Linked DNA regions of Anolis sagrei. The protein of the gene in region 1 interacts with the protein of each later gene in a pairwise test. Links are inferred from orthologs where the notes say so. Each region holds a gene or a part of one and is shown in the gene's direction. Other genes may lie near its edges.

Region 1 (3,752 bases):
AATTTTTTCAACTTATTTCGTAATTGTTTCGAAATTGTTTCGTAATTATTTTCACATGCCTGGTGCAAGTTTTATAGTTGTTGTTTGTTTTATCACACCAACAGTCAACAACAGAGGGAGAGGGAAGCTTTAGAAGTTCCCCCTGTCCCATTTGGAGGTTTTTTCAGCATATTTTTAGCATATTTGGAGGGTTTTTTTAGCATACTGCACAATCGCGTCCGCCATTAACGAATCGATTCAAAATTTATGAAATTTCGTATATTTCGAAATTTTTAAAAGGAAAATTTCGGAATTCTTTAAAGAAACGAAACGTGATGGACCCCTTAAAAATGAATCGAGTTTAGAAACAAATTTTTCCGTGGTTACCCAGCCCTACTCACAACAAAGGATTTTCCCAGGCTCAGCCAGGCCTTCAAATGCTAATGAAGGTGGTCAGTTGAAACATTCACACCTAGCTCCAGCAGAGAAAAGCTCTGTGCCCCACCCCAGCCATTCCACAGATATATAAACCCATTGTCCTACTTCCAACAGACCTCACTACCTCTGAGGATGCTTGCCATAGATGCAGACGAAACGTCAGGAGAAATGCCTCTAGAACATGGCCCTATAGCCCGAAAAAACCTACAAGAACCTAGTGATTCCAGCCATGAAAGCCTTCGACAATACATTGAGTTATCTGTGTCCACACTGCCATATATTCAAGCTTAAGGCAGAAAATGTGGGCTTTTATTTAGCTGTGTGTAAGGGGCCTTTATATTCTGGTTATATAGCTGTGTGGAGGGACTTTCTCCTACTCCCACTTCTAAAGAGGTGATACAGCATAGCCATGTGAGGAGAGGTCTGTAACAAATAGCTTGTACAGTATTATTACTTTCATGCAATTGTGCATTTTACTGCAGCACAGTACCTGATTAGAGAAGAGCTGCCCTTCACACTGGCTACAGCCATTTGGACACGATTTGGAAACGGAATTGCGACATATCACAACAAACAAAGGGATGCTTCCGCATCCGTGATGGAGAATACACTGGGCGAGAGAGCGCGCTGGGCCATAACGTCTTCCCTGCGCCGGAAGTGACGTCCTCACCCCGGAAGGAGTGCTTGGTCTTCTGGCCGGCTTCCGCTCGCTCTCGAGTCAACAAGGAGGCCTTCCACGGAGGGAGGCGTTGCTCGAGTAATTACTGACCTGCCTCTTTGTCAGCGGAGCATGTCGTGGGCGAGGGCCTTGCTGGAGCCCCGCGGCAGTGGCGAGGACGTCTTCGACGAAGAGGCGGACGAGCTGGACGTGGCTCAGAAGGAGTGGAAGAGCGCCATGGAGAGCCGCGTCAAAGTAATGGCGGGCAGCTGAGCGGCGAAGGCCTCGCCTGGCTTTGGGAGGCAAAACCAATGGGCTCCCCTTTCCTTCTCCTCCTCCTTCCAGTAGCAAAGAAGTTGTGTGTGTAATTTTGAACCATTGAGAACGGTCTCTACAGGCTGAGCCTCCCTTGTCCTGAATGTTTCCAAATCTAAACCTGTCTTCCAGGTGATTGAGACAGAGGGGCCTTCCACACTGCCATATAACCCAGAATAGCAAGGCAGAATAACCCACAATATCTGCTTTGAACTGGAAGATGAGCCCACACTGCCATATATCCCAGTTCCAAGCAGATTTCTTTATAGTGTCAGGGGCAACCAGACCATAATAATAATAATTACTATTATTATTATTATTATTAATTATTATTAAACTTTATTTGTACCCCGCTAGCATCTCCCACAGGACTCGATGCGGCTTACAAAGGCCAAGGCCTCAACACAACAATAGCAAAACAATAACAACACAATTTAAAGCAAATTAAAACATAAGCTGCATACTCTCACCCAACCTTTTTAACTTGTATGCAGAACACATAAAGTGATGTGCGGGGCTTGATGAATGCAAAGCTGGGGTGAAAATTGCTGGAAGAAACATTAACAACCTCAGTTATGCAGATGACACCACTCTGATGGCCTAACGCGAGGAGGAACTGAGGAGCCTTCTAATCAAGGTGAAAGAAGAAAGCGCAAAAGCTGGGTTGCAGCTAAACATCAAAAAAACCAAGATTATGGCAACAAGAATGATTGACAACTGGAAAATAGAGGGAGAAAATGTGGAGGCCATGACAGACTTTGTATTTCTAGGTGCAAATATTACTGCAGATGCAGACTGGGGGTGGTGACGGCCGACAGGGAGCTCTGGCGTGGGCTGGTCCATGAGGTCACGAAGAGTCGGAGACGACTGAACGAATGAACAACAACAACAAAAGCATCTCCCGAAGGACTCGATGCGGCTTACATAGGCCAAGGCCTCAAAACACAATACAACAATACAATACCTAAAGCAAATTAAAAACAGTTAAGCAGAACAAACAATAAACAATACATCGAAACACTATAAAACTGGGCCGGGCCAGAGTAATGGGTACAAGATTAAAAGTGCTGATGTGGCAGGAGGTATGTAGGATTATAAGTAAGTGCGGTGTGCAGTAATCTTAGTTCTACTAAAGTGCTTCTAGGACTTGGTATTGGAGGTTCCTAATCTGAGAAGGCACATCGGATCAGCCAGGTCTTCAAGTTCTTTCTGAAGACTGCCAGTGTAGGGGCCTGTCTAAGATCTCTTGGGAGGGTGTTCCAGAGTCGGGGGGCCACCACAGAAAAGGCCCTGTCTCGAGTCCCCACCTAGCGCACTTGCGACGCAGGCGGGATCACGAGCAGGGCCTCTCCAGATGACCGAAGTGAATGCGTGGGTTCGTAGACGGAGATGCGGTCACGCACATAGGGTGGTCCCAAACCGTTCAGGGCTTTGTAGGTAAGCACCTGCACCTTAAATTGGGCTCGGGAAATAAACGGCAGCCAGTGGAGCTCCTTGAACATGAGGGTTGACGTCTCTCTGTAATGAGCCCACAATATCTGCTTTGAACTGGAAGATGAGCTCACACTGCCATATATCCCAGTTCCAAGCAGATTTATTTATCGTGTCAGGGGCGACCAGGCCATTGTATTACATTTCTAACAGAACAAAACAAACAAACAGATAAAAAACACAAAGTTTGCAAGCTTGGTAGTTGGTTAAATGTCTTTTGACCAGTATCAGGCCACTTGGAGTGCCTCTGGTGTTGCCGCAAGAAGGTCCTCCACTGTGCATGTAGCAGGGCTCAAGTTGCATTGCAGCAGGTGGTCAGTGGTTGGCTCTTCTCCACACTCGCATGCTCCGAGCCCCAGGGGAGTGGCGGCATATAATTTCAAATAATAAATAAATAAAATAAAATATCGTGGATTCCACTTTGTGGCCCCATTTCTTAAGGTTGGCTCTGCATCTCTTGGTGCCAGAGCGCTGTCTGTTCAGCACATTCCAAGTTTCCCAGTCTTCTGTGTGCCCAAGGGGGAGTCTCTCATTTGGTATCAGCCATTGGTTAAGGTTCTGGGTTTGAGCCTGCCACTTTTGGACTCTTGCTTGCTGAGGTGTTCCAGCGAGTGTCTCTGTAGATCTTAGAAAACTATTTCTTGATTTAAGTCATGCTGGCTGATACCCAAACAAGAGATGAGCTGGAGATGTCACTGCCTTGGTCCTTTCACTATTGGCTGCTACTTCTCAGCAGATGTTAGGTGGTGCATTACCAGCTAAACAGTGTAATTTCTCCAGTGGTGTAGATAATGTGGGGGTTTTTATTTATTTGTTTGTGATTATTTATAGCCCGCCTTTCTCAGCCATACAGTGACTCAAGGCGGGTTAC
Region 2 (3,752 bases), on another chromosome or scaffold:
GCCTCATCTAAGCTGCCCTGAGTCCCCTTGGGGAGATGGTGGAGGGGTATAGATAAAGTTTTATTATTATTATTATTATTATTATTATTAATAATAATAATATATTTTGAACTTTAACTCCCAGAAGTCTCCAATATTTTCAGTTCCCATAAATCCTGGCAGTTGTCTAAATTGGCTGGTGCTTTTGGAAGTTGAACTGAAAACTCTGGAAGACAAAACATAGGGAACTATTGTATTGTTGAAGGCTTTCATGGCCGGAATCACTGGGTTGTTGTAGGTTTTTTCGAGCTATATGGCCATGTTCTAGAGGCATTCTCTCCTGATGTTTCGCCTGCATCTATGGCAAGCATCCTCAGAGGTAGTGAGGTCTGTTGGAACTAGGAAAAAGGGTTTATATATCTGTGGAATGATTTCCCCAGGCACTGCCAGGCCATCAAATGCTAATCAAGGTGGTCAGTTGAAACATTCACACCTAGCTCCAGCAGACAAGAGTCCTTTGTCCCACCCTGGTCATTCCACAGATATATAAACTCTTTTTCCTACTTCCAACAGACCTCACAACCTCTGAGGATGTTTGCCATAGATGCAGGCGAAACGTCAGGAGAGAATGCCTCTAGAACATGGCCATACAGCCTGAAAAAACCTACAACAACCCAATAGGGAACTATTCCTTTTGGACTTCAACTCCCAGAAGCCTCAGTCCCTTTGGCGAATGTTTAGGAATTCTGGGAAATGAAGTCTTTTAAAAAAAACCTGGATGAGCACCATGGCTTTAAAACTGTAGCTGTCAAGGTTTTCTTTGGACTTCAACCCCCAGAAGCCTCAGTCACCTGGGTGAATGGTCAGGAATTCTGGGAAATGAAGTCCAAAGGAAACACTTTGGCTGGCCCCAGTCGCAAGCTAACCCAGTGCCTTAGGATTGTTTTGAAAGGCTGCCTTCCGGGCCCCGCCCCCTCCTTGTCGCCCCGCCCCTTTTCCCGGCGGCCATTTTGGATTAGCTCCATCCAATCGCCGGTCGCGCGCGCCGTCTCCCTTGGTTACCGTTGCGAAGGAAGTAGCGTCGCGGGTTGCTACGATGGCGCCTGGTTCTGAGGTTCCCTTTCGGGGAAGACAGAGCGAGGCCTTCGAGAGGGCGATGGCGGCGGCGGCGGGCTGAGCGGGGTGGATGGATGGAGCCCGGCGGCGGCGGCGGCAGAAGCGGCAGCAACCCCTCCAGCGGCTCCGAGCGGGCGGCGGAGGCCTGGCGCCGAGGCCGCGAAGGGGAAGGCCTCAGGAAGGGCCTCTCGGAGAGCGCCCTGCCGCAGGGTCTGGGGCGCCGGGCCTGGGCCGCTTTCTCCCCCTCCTCGCCGTATCCTCTCCTCTCCGCCGGCCTTTTGTGGGGCCGAAACAGCCTGACAGGAAGGTCCCAAGATAATCAAGACCAGCGTTTCTCAACCTGAGGGTCGGGACCCCGGGGGGGGGGGGAGGGAGGTCGAGGGGGGGGGGGTGTCAGAGGGGTCGCCAAACACCATCAGGAATTTTCTGTTGGTCATGGTGGTTCTGTGTGAGAAGTTTGGACCAATTCTATTGATGGGGTTCCGATTGCTCTTTGGTTGTAGATGAACTATAAATCCCAGCAACTACAACTCCCAAAAGTCATGGTCTATTTTCCCCCAACCTCCAGCAGTGTTCACATTTGGGCATATTGAGTATCTGTGCCAAGTTTGGTCCAGATCCGTCATTGTTTGAGTCCACAGTGCTCTTTGGATGTAGGTGAACTACAACTCCAAAACTAAAGGTCAGTGCCCACCAAACCCTTCCAGTATTTTCTGTTGGTCAGTGCTCACCAAACCCTTTTCTGTTGGTCATGGGAGTTCTGTGTGCCACGTTTGGTTCAATTCCATCGTTGGTGGAGTTCAGAATGCTCTTTGATTGTAAGTTAACTATAAATCCCAGCAACTACAACTCCCAAATGACAAACTCAATACCCCCTAACCCCAGTAGTATTCATATTTGAGTATTTGTGCCAAATTTGGTCCAGTGAATGAAAACACATCTTGCATATCAGATATTTACATTACAATTAATAATATTAGCAAAATTGCAGTTATAATAATAATATAATAATAATAAAACTTTATTTGTACCCCGCTACCATCTCCCCAAGGGACTCGGTGCGGCTTACATGAGGCCAAGCCCACAGTACATCAATAAAACGAAGGCAGTAACAAAATAAGCAATACAAAACAGTAAAATAAATCTCATAAACAAAAATAAATAATAACAATAACATGTTGTTGTTCATTCGTTCAGTTGTCTCCGACTCTTCGTGACCTCATGGACCAGCCCACGCCAGAGCTCCCTGTCGGCCGTCACCACCCCCAGCTCCTTCAAGGTCAGTCCAGTCACTTCAAGGATGCCATCCATCCATTTTGCCCTTGGTCGGCCCCTCTTCCTTTTACCTTCCACTTTCCCCAGCATAATTGTCTTCTCTAGGCTTTGCTGTCTCCTCATGATGTGGCCAAAGTACTTCAACTTTGTCTCTAGTATCCTTCCCTCCAATGAGCAGTTGGGCTTTATTTCCTGGAGGATGGACTGGTTGGATCTTCTTGCAGTACAAGGCACTCTCAGAACTTTCCTCCAACACCACAGTTCAAAAGCATCTATCTTCCTTCGCTCAGCCTTCCCTAAGGTCCAGCTCTCACATCTGTAGGCTACTACAGGGAATATCATGGCTTTGACTAGGCGGATCTTTGTTGCCAGTGTGATGTCTCTACTCTTTAAAATTTTATCGAGACTGGACATTGCTCTCCTCCCAAGAAGTAAGCGTCTTCTGATTTCCTGGCCACTGTCTGCATCTGCAGTAATCTTTGCACCTAGAAATACAAAGTCTGTCACAGCCTCCACATTTTCTCCCTCTATTTTTGTAGGTGAACTACAACTCCAAAACTCAAGGTCAGTGCCCACAAAACCCTTCCAGTATTTTCTGTTGGTCATGGGAGTTCTGTGTGCCACATTTGGTTCAATTCAATCGTTGGTGGAGTTCAGAATGCTCTTTGATTGTAAGTTAACTATAAATCCCAGCAACTACAACTCCCAAATGACAAAATAACCCACCCACCCCAACCTCAATAGTATTCATATTTGGGTATTTGTGCCAAATTTGGTCCAGTGAATGAAAACACATCTTGCATATCAGATATTTATATTACAATTAATAATATTAGCAAAATTACAGTTATGAAGTAGCAACTAAAATAATAATAGTAATATAATAACAACAACAACAACAACAACAACAACACTTTATTTGTACCCCGCTACCATCTCCCCAAGGGACTCGGTGCAGCTTACATGAGGCCAAGCCCAAACGCAACAATACAAGCAATAATAACAACAATACAATCAATTAAAAAACACATAGCCAGTAAGATACACAACATTATCAATAAAACAACACATAATTAAAAACAGTGGGGAGGCCAAATGTAGAGTTAAAATTGGAAATAATGTTATGGTTGGGAGTCACCACAACATAAGGAACTGTATTAAAGAGTTGCGGCATTGGGAAGGTTGAGAAACACTGATCAAGACAGATAATCCACATTATCTGCTTTGCACTGGGGTATATGAGTCTCCATTGCCATACAATCCTGCTCAAAGCAGATAACCTGGATTTTATATGGCAGTGTAGATGAGGCCCTTTCCACATAGCTGTATAAAATCTCCATTGAATTGGATTATATGGCAGTTTATATCTTGTGTTATCAAAA
Region 3 (3,752 bases), on another chromosome or scaffold:
ATTCCCTAACATTGGGAATCATAGTAGTTAAAGTGGTATAAAACTGCATTAATTCTGCAATGAGTCTTTGGCTGGATTTACACTGCCCAATAATGCAGTCTCAGAATGCAGTTTAGTGCTTTTACTGCTTTTATATGGTCTGTACACTGCTTAGCCGGTATTGCACCACCTGACATCCACCGGGAAGTAGCAGCCAATAGTGAAAGGACCAAGGCAGAGACAGCTCCAGCTCATCCCCTGTTTGGGTATCAGCCAGCATGTCTACGACTTAAATCTAGACATAGTTTTCTAAGATCTACAGAGACACTCTCTGGAACACAGCAGCAAGCGAGAGTCCAAAAGTGGCAGGCTCAAACCCAGAATCTCAACAAATGGCTGATACCAAATGAGAGACTCCCCCCTGGGCACACAGAGGACTGGGCGACTTGGAAGGTGCTGAACAGACTGCGCTCTAGCACCACAAGATGCAGAGCCAACCTTCAGGAATGGGGCTACAAAGTGGAATCCTCGACATGCGAATGGGGAGAGGAGCAAACCACTGACCACCTGCAATGCAACCTGAGCCCAGCCACATGCACAATGGAGGACCTCCTTGCGGCAACACCAGAGGCACTCCAAGTGGCCAGATACTGGTCAAAGGAGATTTAATCAACTACCAAACTCACACATTTTGTATTTTGTCTGTTTGTTTGCTTTGTTCTGTTAGAAATGTAATATAATTGACTGGTTGCCCTGAAACGAGAAATAAAAAATAATAAATAAATAAATAAATAAATAAAATATGGTCTGTATTATATGTTAATGTTTTGAATTATATTTTATGTTGTTGGTGACATTGATTACCGATTGTAAACCGCCTCGAGTTGCCTTCGGGCTGAGAGAGGCTGTATATAAGTATGGTTGGTAAATAAATAAATAAATAAATAAATAAATAAATAAATAAATAAATAAATAGATGTATTGCACTGGATTATATGAGCCTACACACTCATATGCAGGTGATCTGCATTCTGAAACTGCTCTACAGGAACTTTGTAGAAGGCGCCACTTTCTTTTTTCACAGAGGACGCGCGCCCTCCAGTGGCATGTCTGCGGAACGACAGGAGAAAAAGATGCCGGGAGGGAATGAACTCACCGCGTTCTCCGGATTCCGGCCCTGACGTCACGAGGGGAAGCCGGCTCCTTCTACGGAGCATGCGTAGAACGGCCCTGCGGATTGATCCCTCCGGCGTGCCGTCCATCGTTCTGCGCATGATTGGGAGGACTGCTTGTGAGGAAGAGTTGCTCGGGAGCCGTCCAGCGGAGCCGTGATGGAAGAAGGCGGCCTTGAGCCGGATGCTTTCGACGCCATCGTCATGGCAGAGGCAAGGTACGTGGGCTCACCGTGGTTTCGGGCCTACTCTCTGGGCCTTTTGGATTTAACTTTCTCCTTCGCCTCTGTACTGGGAGAGAGAGAGAGAGAGAGAGAGAGAGGCCCCTTCCACACAGCTGAATAAAATCCCACATTATCTGCTTTGAACTGGGTTATATGGCAGTGTGGACTATGCCTTGATATTCTGGGTTATATAGCTGTGAGGAAGGGCCCAGAGAATCATAGAATCCTAGAGTTGGAAGAGACCTCATGGGCCATCCAGTCCAACCCCCTGCCAAGAAGCAGGAATATTGCATTCAAATCACCCCTGACAGATGGCCATCCAGCCTCTGCTTAAAAGCTTCCAAAGAAGGAGCCTCCACCACACTCCGGGGCAGAGAGTTCCACTGCTGAACAGCTCTCACAGTCAGGAAGTTCTTCCTCATGTTCAGATGGAATCTCCTTTCTTGTAGTTTGAAGCCATTGTTCTGCGTCCTAGTCTCCAGGGAAGCAGAAAACAAGCTTTCTCCCTCCTCCCTATGACTTCCTCTCATGTATTTATGCATGGCTATTGTGTCTCTTTATAGATTTCATGGCGAAGGCTACCAGGAAGGCTATGCTGAAGGACTTCATGCTGGTGTCATTGAAGGAAGGCAATATGGAGTGCAGCAAGGGGCTAACATTGGATTAGAAGTATGTACTGATCTTGTTTCAAGCGAGAGAGATATATTACTCTGTTAATTAAACACCTGCAGTTCTATAATTGACCTTATTGAAATTCTGTGGCAGTAAAAACACATTCATTTAATCCAAATTAAGCTTTGTGTAACTATTTATTTAAGATGTTTTTAAAAAGAAAATGTGACTTGAGCTGCTGTTATTAGAGAGGAAGTAATATTGTTAGTATTGGTAACATAAGAATAAAAATACCTCTTTTTCAAATATATAGATTGGGTCATATCTTGGTTTTGCAGTGACATGGAAGAAATTGCTTAATGCCAGTTCTGATGAAAAACACAGGTAGGTATGAAACTATACATTCATATTCTCTCTTTCTCTATCACTCACACACACACACACACACACACAATGAACCAGATAGGAATTTATTCACTTGTGGAGTGGGATTTTGAACCAGGGGATTAGTTCTAGTGATGTGGTAGAGCGTATTATTTGTATACATTCTTCACTCTTTTCTTGTTATTTCCTGTACTTTCACGAAACTTGGTGTGTGGGGTTAGGGAAATGCTGTAACTATAAGGAGGTTCACTCAAGAAACTTCAATCAGGAAAGAGAATGATAAGGGAGCAAGTAATATTTTCTCAGTTTATTTCAGATCTCCTTATCATAGGTTTATTCCTCAGATGTGTGATTTTTCTTTTGGATTAAGACAAAAAATACTTGTAGGGAGAGGCAGAGAATACCGGAAAAGGAAATAAAGGTGCAGTCAATCACAGCCTGAGAGTTACAGTCAAGATGGGGTGAAGAGGAATTAAAGAAGACAGCATTATTTACCGGGATTGTGGCGCAGCTGGCTGAGTGTCAGCTGCATTAAGATCACTCTGACCAAAAGGTCATGAGTTCGAAGCCAGCCCGGGCTGGAGTGGGTGTCCAGCCATTGTGTAGCCCGTTGTCGACCTTTGCAACCCGAAAGACAGTTGCATCTGTCAAGTAGGAAAAAAAGGGACCACCTTGTGTGGGAGGCTAAATTTAACTAATTTATGAGGCCATAAAGAAAGAAGACTCCGGGGAATGTGGAATGCGGAAGAACTTCATCGGTGTCGTTGATGGACGATGAAAAGCAGCAGCTCCCCTGGCGGCCAGAAAAAAAAAAAGTTAAATAGCCTTTGTCTGTTAAATGTTGTTTGTCAAACTGGCATTGAATGTTTGCCATATATGTGTTTACTGTAATCCGCCCTGAGTCCCCTGCGGGGTGAGAAGGGCGGAATATAAGAACTGTAAATAAATAAATAAAATAAATACTCTTCCTTGCATTTGGACTTAAGGCCTAAAAACGACAGCACTGGCTGCTGTGCCTGCTCAGTATTCTAAATCATACTATGTATTATGTCTAGACCTTTGGAAACATGGTATAGAAAACTTCACTTCTTAAATATTTTAAGAAAGCTCAGCAAAAATATTCAGTTGAATCATTGTAGATAATGCTTGCTTGAACTGATATCATTATTGCTGCAGGTGATTTTGGCTTCTTGAACAAGAGGATCTAAGTTAGGTTTTATAATGTAATAATAATAATAATAATAATAATAATAATACTTTATTTCTATATCGCCCTCTCTCTCCAGAGGGACTCAGGGCAATTTACACACAAAAAGCATACATTCACTGCCTCAAAATGGGTACAAACATCAAAATAATACAGATAATGGATAGTAAAAAA

Evidence for each region.
Region 2: the proteins of YAE1 (region 1) and CEP126 interact in a two-hybrid assay, tested with the Homo sapiens proteins (2 studies listed by BioGRID and IntAct). The link is inferred for Anolis sagrei from reciprocal best matches to the Homo sapiens genes YAE1 and CEP126.
Region 3: the proteins of YAE1 (region 1) and LTO1 interact in binary tests that used the Homo sapiens proteins (3 or more experiments, as listed by UniProt). The link is inferred for Anolis sagrei from reciprocal best matches to the Homo sapiens genes YAE1 and LTO1.

Annotation. Positions count from the first base shown.
Region 1 is NC_090026.1:68,681,773-68,685,524, forward strand, and holds the start of YAE1 (protein YAE1 homolog), read left to right. Parts: upstream 1-1,088; 5' UTR 1,089-1,207; coding exon 1,208-1,330; intron 1,331-3,752. UniProt on the Homo sapiens protein: The complex LTO1:YAE1 functions as a target specific adapter that probably recruits apo-ABCE1 to the cytosolic iron-sulfur protein assembly (CIA) complex machinery. May be required for biogenesis of the large ribosomal subunit and initiation of translation.
Region 2 is NC_090023.1:22,939,335-22,943,086, forward strand, and holds the start of CEP126 (centrosomal protein of 126 kDa), read left to right. Parts: upstream 1-999; 5' UTR 1,000-1,169; coding exon 1,170-1,348; intron 1,349-3,752. UniProt on the Homo sapiens protein: Participates in cytokinesis. Necessary for microtubules and mitotic spindle organization. Involved in primary cilium formation.
Region 3 is NC_090021.1:266,672,618-266,676,369, reverse strand, and holds the start of LTO1 (protein LTO1 homolog), read left to right. Parts: upstream 1-1,174; 5' UTR 1,175-1,310; coding exon 1,311-1,369; intron 1,370-1,938; coding exon 1,939-2,044; intron 2,045-2,300; coding exon 2,301-2,371; intron 2,372-3,752. UniProt on the Homo sapiens protein: The complex LTO1:YAE1 functions as a target specific adapter that probably recruits apo-ABCE1 to the cytosolic iron-sulfur protein assembly (CIA) complex machinery. May be required for biogenesis of the large ribosomal subunit and initiation of translation.